Linked DNA regions of Saccharomyces cerevisiae S288C. The gene in region 3 interacts genetically with the main gene of each other region. Each region holds a gene or a part of one and is shown on either strand. Other genes may lie near its edges.

What was found. A genetic interaction does not mean that the proteins touch.
Region 1: mutations in PDH1 (region 3) and SDO1 impair growth when combined (synthetic growth defect), as found in Saccharomyces cerevisiae (one study listed by BioGRID).
Region 2: mutations in PDH1 (region 3) and MRH1 together harm fitness more than expected from each alone (negative genetic interaction), as found in Saccharomyces cerevisiae (2 studies listed by BioGRID).

What each region holds. Positions count from the first base shown.
Region 1 is NC_001144.5:183,674-186,974, reverse strand, and holds SDO1 (guanine nucleotide exchange factor SDO1), read left to right. Parts: upstream 1-2,048; coding exon 2,049-2,801; downstream 2,802-3,301. Other genes in the region: IZH3 (Izh3p), read left to right, coding at 1-1,477; IRC25 (Irc25p), read right to left, coding at 2,813-3,301. UniProt on the Saccharomyces cerevisiae protein: Involved in the biogenesis of the 60S ribosomal subunit and translational activation of ribosomes.
Region 2 is NC_001136.10:506,316-509,609, forward strand, and holds MRH1 (Mrh1p), read left to right. Parts: upstream 1-1,831; coding exon 1,832-2,794; downstream 2,795-3,294.
Region 3 is NC_001148.4:556,605-560,498, forward strand, and holds PDH1 (putative 2-methylcitrate dehydratase), read left to right. Parts: upstream 1-1,780; coding exon 1,781-3,331; downstream 3,332-3,894. Other genes in the region: citrate (Si)-synthase CIT3, read left to right, coding at 1-1,233. UniProt on the Saccharomyces cerevisiae protein: Catalyzes the stereospecific dehydration of (2S,3S)-2-methylcitrate (2-MC) to yield the cis isomer of 2-methyl-aconitate.

The sequences.
Region 1 (3,301 bases), on a different chromosome or scaffold from region 3:
TCCATTTTCAACTATTGATGAAAGTGTTAAACACTCTGAAAGTGGGCGGTATGATGATTTGGAGATAATTCGTCCAACAAAAGAAAAGGAAGTAACAAGTTCTGTGTACAAAAGAAACAGTGGCAAGTCTCTGAATACAGAATCTCAGTTTTCACTGGGAGATTCAGATGCAGCCACTTTGGTGAATTCAGTCGCTACTTTCAAGCTTAACAATGCTTCTACATCCACTTCACTGGTGTCTTCATCTTCAACTGTATGTTCTCAAGCGAAGTCCTCGTTACGTTCCCCAACAAGTCGTCTCAATGATACAAAAATCAAAGAGGAAAACAATTATATTTCCAGCGTGAAAGACTATTGCGGTCCAATGAGAAAATCCATGGTAAAGACGGAAATCCTCATTGAAGAACCTTTGAATCCTACTACCGATATCAAGTCTTTTATAAACTCATACAACCATGGCAAAGCGTATAGTCTAGGTGAAACTCAACATTTACATTATTATCAGTTGCCATTCCCATGGAGGGAAAACAGATACATAATCCATGGCTATAGGTTTTACAATACCCATTCCAAATCTTTGTTGTCTATCTTTAACTGGTACGGCTGGCATAATGAAACTTCAAATATTTGGTCTCATTTGTTAGGAGCCATTTATATAATCTACTTGGCAATTTACGATTTCCCTCAGTCTGAAGTTTGGCGGAATTCCCAGGTTCCACCACAGGCTAGATGGATTGTTTTCATGTTTTTGGCAGCTGCGTTGAAATGTATGCTAAGCTCCGTGTTTTGGCATACTTTCAACGGAACGTCCTTCTTGAAGCTACGTTCTAAATTTGCGTGTGTCGACTATAGCGGTATTACGATCTTAATTACAGCTTCGATATTGACAACGGAGTTTGTTACCATGTATTCATGTTACTGGGCGATGTACACTTACATGAGTATTTCTCTGGCGCTGGGTGTATTTGGTGTGTTTATGAATTGGTCGCCTCGCTTTGATAGACCTGAAGCAAGGCCATTAAGAATTAGATTCTTCATTTTGCTGGCTACTATGGGTGTATTGTCGTTTTTACATTTGATATTTTTGACTGATCTTCATTATGCTGCAACGCTATTTAGCCCCGTCACATACAAATCTGTTGTTTGGTATTTGGTTGGTGTGGTATTTTACGGTTCGTTCATTCCTGAACGGTTCAGATCTGACGTTCAGGTTGATAAGACCATTCCAACAAACTACGAATTATCTACTGATTTAGAAATCATCACAAAGCAAAGGGAAATTCATTTTAGAGAGGTGCCAACAGCCCATTCCAAATGCAGTTCCTGTCCGTCTCATGCCAAATCATTTAAATCTCTATGGTGGGTTGACTATTTTGGTTGTTCGCACACTTTTTGGCATTTCTTCGTAGTGTTGGGTGTCATCGGCCATTATAGAGCTATTTTAGATATGTTTGCCAAGAGGTGGATTTTGTCATGATGGTATGACTGACTACCTTTACTTACAACATCCTGCACTTTTTCTGTATACGATAAACGGACTTAAAAGAAAGAAAAGCCTACAATTACATTGTTGGAGAAGCCACATAGCAATTTCGAAAAAAACCAGAAATTGTAAACCACGAATTCTCCTGTATTATTTCATTGTTAAAATTTTTTTTTTACTTATATTATACCCATCTTTTTCGATATTCCTGCTGGCATTGTTTTGGCTACATTTTCAAGAAACTTTGGATCCAAAGACAAAAGGAACAAACGAAATCTAAAAGCAAAAAAAAAGTTGACTGATTATAAAAACTACATTACGACGAAAAGAAAATAATAAAACTGTGTACTTTTAGTTTTGCATTTATGTATTGACTGTTATTTAACTTATTATGACCTCATGAAAGAACAAAACTTAGCGTGTATTGTTCTGCTCAGTGCCTTGTATATATAATAATGTTCATGAAAAAATTTTTCTAGGCCGAACTTAAGTGATTTCATGCAGTAGTAAAAGTTTTTAAAATTTTTACTAAAATAGTTCTGAGAAAGAAAAGGTAAAACACGCAATGCCTATCAATCAACCGTCGGGACAGATTAAGTTAACTAATGTTTCATTAGTGAGATTAAAAAAGGCTCGCAAGAGATTTGAAGTCGCGTGCTACCAAAATAAGGTCCAAGACTATCGAAAAGGAATTGAAAAAGATCTGGATGAAGTGCTGCAGATACATCAAGTTTTCATGAATGTTTCGAAAGGCTTGGTTGCTAATAAGGAAGATCTACAAAAGTGTTTCGGGACTACAAATGTTGATGATGTCATCGAGGAGATCATGCATAAGGGAGAGATTCAATTATCGGAAAAAGAAAGACAATTAATGCTTAATAAAGTTAATAACGAAATGCTTACAATAGTTAGCGCTAAATGTATAAATCCTGTGTCAAAGAAAAGATATCCGCCCACAATGATCCACAAAGCTTTACAGGAACTGAAGTTCAGCCCTGTTATTAACAAACCTGCCAAATTGCAAGCTTTAGAGGCTATCAAATTATTGGTTTCTAAGCAAATTATTCCAATAGTAAGGGCGAAGATGAAAGTCAAAGTGGCCATAAGTGAGCCATCTAGACAACCCGAACTTATTGAGAAGATTAGTAAATTGATAGCTTCATCGCCTGGAGAGTCAACGAAGCCGGAATTGGATCCTTGGACATGTACAGGTCTTATCGATCCTGTCAATTATAGAGATTTGATGACCCTATGTGATAAAAAGGGAACTGTGCAAGTCTTGGATATGGCAGTCATAGATAATACAACGCATAACTAATTTATATAGAATCACTTTGCATACATATCTTTGATACACTTTAACACAAAAACTAATTTGCCAAAATCATTATCGTCAGCGCTTTGTTCCTTCGTTGCTCTCCATATCTTACTGCTCATGGATATCAGCAAGCTGAATTGCATGTTGTCTTGGGCCATCGTACCGCTCACTTCTGGTAGAATAACTCTCCTATATAGTTCGGCAATCTGTACGCATACCACGGGTACTTTAGGATCGGCACTATCTCCCAACTTGGTAACCACTTGATAATCAGATAAATGGTCTCTTACAAATTCTTCTTCCTCATCGTCATAATCGCCACCCGTGTTTCCTAGGTTTCCTGCCAGTGGTACGTTGATATCGAGAATTGGGTTTAGTCCTTTTGAAGATACCTCATAGGTGGAATCCATTTCCCCATTTAGTCTGATTTGCAATAGAATTGTGTTATTAAAGTGCGTGGCTTGTACATACAATTCTTTGTTTTCGGATGAAGCGTTCAA
Region 2 (3,294 bases), on a different chromosome or scaffold from region 3:
AAACTACCCCGAAAAAGAAGCACAGCTTTATAAAAAGACCGTATTAATTTGCTTTATTGGGTAATAACGGGGCATTCGGGACATACAATCATACGCTAGATGCTGCGTGTAATAATTAACATTGTAAATCCCTATCTTTTTTTTTTATATAAGTAGAGTACTTTAAAAAGAGTGGACGACTGAGTTCATATACAAGCAGACGCCCTTTCATTTAATCTCAATCTTGTTTCAGGCCGGCTTTTGTCCATAACTGCTACGCTGCGTAAAAAAAAAATAAGAGAAATTGAAAAATATGGGCGTCGTCTAAGGATGGTAACTAGCTTCATTATACTATGGGTCTTCCTTCTTTTCCAACGCTTCCACTTTGACCTCAATCTCTTCTCGATGGCCTAAGGTAGCAAGGTTGTGTTAAAAAAAACAAATACATCAGAGCAAGACACTTTTGGGTTTATTAGGTATTATAGGTATAGGTCAATTAATTTCTTATCTTTTGTTGAGAGGATAAGGGTAATATTAGCGACCCTTAAGTAATTTTTGTTCTGTTTTACTTCAGTTTAATAAAAGCGACTGCCGCCGACCTTACTCCCTTTTTTTTATTATGCTCCTCGAGACAAGGTCGCTTAAAAAAAAAAAAAAGCTTAGTCAGACATGCAATCAGCGCAATTTATGGAAGCTGGAAAGGGGGGCCGCATTTTATGCACTATCTCTTGAATTCAAAAAGTAATTCAGGCCAAATTAACTAAGGATGCAAATGAAGCGAGTACTGAACGAATAGTCATGTTCTGAATTTCAAGCATTCAAATTTTGCTTTTCAGCGCTGTTCATCTTAGCGCTTACCATAAAGAGGAATACGTAATTCAACAACGGAGTTGAAAAATTTTTAAAATCGTGCCGGTGTTAGTGAGAAGAGGATGGAGGGAATTAATACTTCGATGGAAGATGCAACTTGCAAATGTAGTCCGGTTACCAAGAGACCCAAACCTCTTCCACTTTACTATTTCTCCTTTGAGAAATATATCAGTTTGCGGTAATAGGTAATATGAAAAAGGCAATAAAAAAAAGAGATACTTGTCACCATCTCGTCTCCCTTTACCTTTTTTACTTAATCTTCTTCGTCGTCATCTGTTCCATCCCTTTCCTAGCTTAGTCTTCTCCGGCTAGTTCTTAGTGCGGTGAGCAAAAAAAATAGCGTTTTTTTTCCCTCACCAGGACTTTTTTTGTTAACCGAAAATCGGCATCTCTAGTTTTCCTGGACAAAAAAGGCAAAATGGAAATAAACACTCATACGAATCAGTAAAGATGTAAATAATCGCAGTAACGACTGCACAAGGATGTCAGAAAAAGCAGTTTAATTCCAGAAGTGGTTTTCCAATTTATCACACATGTACATGAAGGGAAATGTATAAATACGGTCTTCGTAAAACAAAGGATCTCTTCACCTGGTTTCTTCATTTATAAGTAGTGTCTTTTTCGGTAACTTAAGATATATCCTTATTTCTTTCCCACTTCTCGTTATTTCTTCTTTTTCCCTTTTCAAGTTCTTCTTTTTATTTATTATTAAGCTTATTTTAATTCTTAGATCGTTGTCACTATCTTTTGTCCTTATTGTTAAGAAACATTGCGAAGAAAAAGAATAATAAAAGAAACTCAGAAAAAAAAAAAGTTTCCTCGAACAAAAATATTATTATTTCAATAACTTTTTCTTTCTCTACATCCAATTTTTTGACCCTATTTTAACATTAATTTTTTGCTTTAATTTTAACTAATACCTAATTTCACTTAATATCTAATCATCTTCCTTTAACCCACAGAACAAAGAAGAAAAATAACAATGTCTACCTTTGAAACTTTAATTAAAAGAGGTGGTAACGAAGCCATCAAAATTAACCCTCCAACCGGTGCGGATTTCCACATCACTAGTCGTGGTTCCGATTGGTTCTGGACATGTTTCTGTTGTTACCTATTATTTGGTTTAATTTTAACATTCTTAATGTTCAGAAAACCAGTCAATGACAGATTCTTTTACCTTACCGGTATTGCTCCAAACTTTTTCATGTGTATCGCTTATTTCACCATGGCTTCTAACTTAGGTTGGATTCCAGTCAAGGCTAAGTACAACCATGTCCAAACTTCTACTCAAAAAGAACATCCAGGTTACAGACAAATCTTCTACTCTAGATTCGTTGGTTGGTTCTTAGCTTTGCCATGGCCAATTATTCAAATCTGTATGCTAGCTGGTACCCCATTCTGGCAAATGGCTTTCAATGTTTGTATTACTGAATTCTTCACTGTTTGTTGGTTGATCGCTGCCTGTGTTCACTCCACTTACAAATGGGGTTACTACACCATCGGTCTAGGTGCTGCTATTGTCGTTAGTATCAGTGTTATGACCACCAGTTACAACTTGGTGAAACAAAGAGATAACGATATCAGGTTGACATTCCTTGTTTTCTTCAGCATTATTATGTTCTTGTGGATTATTGCTTACCCAACTTGTTTCGGTATTACCGATGGTGGTAACGTTTTGCAGCCAGACTCTGCCGGTATTTTCTATGGTATCATTGATCTTATTTTGATGTGTTTCATTCCAACTTTATTGGTTCCAATTGCTAACCACTTCGGTGCTGACAAATTGGGCTACCATTTCGGACCTAGTGATGCCGAAGCAGTGATGGCTCCAAAAGCTCCAGTTGCTAGTCCAAGACCTGCTGCTACACCAAACTTGAGTAAGGACAAGAAAAAGAAGTCTAAGAAGAGCAAGAAATCTAAGAAGTCTAAGAAGTCTGAAGAATAAGCCAATCGTCATGTCAATTATGTGCTACTTTCTTCTTTCTTTCAATCATCTTTGAAGAATTTTCTACTTCAAGCCAATCCTATAAATGGATAAAACTGTCTTTATTGATTATTTGACAAGATTATTTTACTCCATCTTCAACTTTTATCATATTTTATTTTATTTTCCTGACGTTTCAATATTTTCGTTCGTTAAATTATCACCATTTCTTGTCGAATTTTTATTTTCTATCATAAAGTGCAATTCTAGACTCATTTTTTAATTTAATGGATCCATTTAATCCATTTCGTCAAGCAAGTATGTTTTCATAACAATATTTTGCTCAGTGCATTTTGATCAAGAAACGTATAGTTGATGATTAGAAACGAGCTTTTTTATGCCCATCGTCATCTATATATATATTTGTATCACTTTAATAGTTATTTTAATATTTGATAACAACCTTTCTAATAGTATTGTTATGGAAGGTTTAGTGCTGGAGGAAAAAAAAGAAAGATAAA
Region 3 (3,894 bases):
CAAGGAACATCATTAGATCCCGAACATGGCATTAAATTTCAAGGTTTAACGATTGAAGAATGTCAAAATAGATTACCTAATACAGGTATTGATGGCGATAATTTCCTGCCAGAATCAATGTTATGGCTGTTGATGACAGGTGGTGTGCCAACTTTCCAGCAAGCTGCTTCTTTCAGGAAAGAATTGGCTATTCGTGGAAGGAAATTGCCACATTATACAGAGAAAGTTTTGTCAAGTTTACCCAAAGATATGCACCCTATGACCCAACTTGCAATTGGTTTAGCATCAATGAACAAAGGATCCCTCTTTGCTACAAACTACCAAAAGGGCCTCATAGGAAAGATGGAATTTTGGAAAGATACTCTTGAAGATTCGCTAAATTTAATTGCTTCACTCCCGCTGCTGACTGGGAGAATTTATTCGAACATTACAAATGAGGGACACCCATTAGGTCAATATAGTGAGGAGGTGGATTGGTGTACAAACATATGTTCCCTGCTCGGCATGACAAATGGAACGAACTCTTCTAATACATGCAACCTTACTTCCCAGCAATCCCTGGACTTCATAAACTTGATGCGGTTATATACCGGTATACATGTAGACCATGAAGGTGGTAATGTTTCTGCTCACACCACCCACTTGGTTGGAAGTGCGTTGAGTGACCCGTATCTCAGCTATTCATCTGGAATAATGGGATTAGCGGGTCCTTTGCATGGGTTAGCAGCACAAGAAGTAGTAAGGTTTCTCATAGAGATGAACTCTAATATTTCCAGCATTGCACGAGAACAAGAAATCAAAGATTATCTTTGGAAAATTTTGAATTCAAACCGTGTGATCCCCGGTTATGGGCACGCAGTTTTGCGTAAACCGGATCCTCGATTTACAGCAATGCTTGAATTTGCGCAAAAGAGGCCTATTGAATTTGAGAACGACAAGAACGTTTTGTTGATGCAAAAATTGGCAGAAATAGCGCCTAAGGTTTTGTTGGAACACGGAAAGAGTAAGAATCCATTTCCCAATGTTGACTCTGCATCGGGGATTTTGTTTTATCATTATGGAATCAGGGAATTATTATTCTTTACCGTCATTTTTGGGTGTTCAAGGGCCATGGGACCCTTGACACAACTTGTTTGGGATCGCATTCTAGGTTTACCAATTGAAAGGCCCAAGAGTTTGAACTTGGAGGGTCTGGAAGCACTTACCAAAGCAAGCAATGTTAACAAGTTGTAACGCAGTTCCAATTTACAAGAATGCTTCGTTTGCTATTACAATATTGAAATATAAATAAAATTCCATACAGCATGTCTAATCATAGCTAATTTATACATATTCATCATGAAAACATATAGGGGAAAATATGGTCGGTTAACACACCTATCAAAAAATTATTCAGCAATTCCAATCTCGTTAGTAAAATATATTCTTATTTTTTTTTTTTTTCTCTGATTGTATTATTTCTGGAGTTTTGACTTATTTTTTTACCACATCGCGCTTTTCGTCCCCAATCTCTCTGATATATGATGCTGTCTATAGGTAGCCACTTCCCCGATGTCGGACCTCGGGCCGTTTACAAACTTTATTGAGATGACCTTATTTCTCCACATTCTAGTCATTCAACTTTTACCCTCATATGTTTACCTTCACTAATGTGAAAGCATGACCAAAGAAAGTGTATAAGGTATATAAATCTGCCATAATGTATGTATAACTTATTAGGACTTTCTCAAATAGTATTTTGGTATTTTCTACTGTTCTCTGATGATCGAGAGCAAACAGAATGTTTTTAGCCAAAAATCTAAAAAATAATAAAATCAAGGTATGCTTGCCTAAAAAGAAATTTGCTGCGCTGAGTACAGCGTCTATACAAACTAATGAAAGACCAAATCCAGATAAGGTTTTGAAGGACATCGCGAAATATGTCCATGAAACCCCATTAAAATCATCTTTGGCTCTAGATACAGCACGACTCTGTTTCCTTGATACTCTAGGCTGTGGCTTGGCGGCTTTGAAATTTAAGCAGGCTCAAAATATTATTAAACCAATTGTGCCAGGAACAATAGTTCCCAGTGGAACAAAAATATTGGGCACATCTTACGTTATGGATCCAGTGAAGGGAGCTTTTGCCATTGGTACTCTAATACGTTGGTTAGATTACAATGACTGCTGGTTAGCTGCCGAGTGGGGGCACCCATCAGATAACCTTGGGGGAATTTTAGCTGTCGCGGATCACTTGTCCAGATTAAACAAGGCTACCCACGGAAAGAATGGAAAACAGTTTCTTGTTAAAGACGTATTAGAGGCAATGATTAAAGCGCATGAAATCCAAGGTATTATAGCGCTCGAAAATTCTTTCAATAAAGTAGGTTTAGATCATGTGGTACTCGTGAAAGTAGCAACGGCTGGTGTTGTCTCGAAGATGCTGGGCCTGAGCCAGGAACAAACTATTGAAGCATTGTCACAAGCATTTGTAGACGGTCAATCACTGCGTACTTACCGTCATGCCCCAAATACTGGATCTAGAAAGTCGTGGGCGGCGGGAGATGCAGTTTCGAGGGCTGTAAACTTGGCTTATTTAGTCAAAAATGCTAATGTTGGCACGATACCTTCAGTATTAACAGCTAGAACCTGGGGATTTTATGACGTTTTATTTAAGGGTAAACCTTTTTCATTCCAACAAAGATCAAAATATGATTCCTACGTCATGGAAAACGTTCTGTTCAAGATATCATTTCCTGCCGAATTCCATGCGCAAACTGCTGTAGAAGCTGCTGTAAAAGCATATAGGATTCTTGCCAAACAAGGGAAAACTTTTAAAGATATTAAATCGATCAGAATTAGAACTCAAGAGGCGGCAATGAGGATTATAGATAAATCCGGTCCTCTGTATAATTATGCCGATAGGGATCATTGTATCCAGTACATGATCGCGGTTCCGCTGATTACTGGTAATCTCACAGCTACTGATTATTCGGATGAGGTCGCAAGAAATCCTGAGATCGATAACTTGAGATCGAAAATGTACTGTATCGAAGATACTCATCTCACTCAAAACTATCACGATCCTGATAAAAGGTCGATAGGAAACGCTCTTCTCATAGAGCTGAACGATGGGACGCAGTTGGATGAAATTTTTGTAGAGTACCCTGTTGGTCACAAATTTAGACGAGAGGAAGGAATACCATTACTAATGAATAAATTTCAAAGGCATCTGCGCGAACATTTTGTAGAGAGCCCTGATAAAGTCGACCTTATAATGAAGGTAAGTTCAAAAACAAACTTTTTGAATATGCAAATCGACAAATACATGGATTTGTTTACTGAGGGATGAATGGTTGGCTCTTTAAGAGCGAACGGCATGGTACCTACTTCAATTTTTAAAGACAAAAGGCGCCGTTTCGATAAACAAGAAATCACTTTCAAAACATAATTAAACCAAAGAACATGCGGTTTTCTAATTATGCTGGCTTAATTTTACTGGTATTTATCTACATAATAATAACTATTAAAAAATTAAATAATTGGCTCTATTTATTTTTCTTTCTTCAACTTGCAAGAGTTCGTCAATTCATGGAAAAATACAAAAATAGAAATGCGAATTCTGTGGATCGAACACAGGACCTCCAGATAACTTGACCGAAGTTTTTTCTTCAGTCTGGCGCTCTCCCAACTGAGCTAAATCCGCTCAATTTCTATGCTCTAACCACCTTAGCTAAAAACTCAATACAGGATTAGTTGATAAATGGGTGTTATCAACTCAATCCACAGTGTTGGAATCAGAGTCAGTTATCATCTTTGGGCTAGTATTATTGTAAGTGTTGGAATAAAAATTCTAAAATATCATCCATTTAGTAGTGTTCATATTACTAATATATCTGTTGGAATAAAAATCCA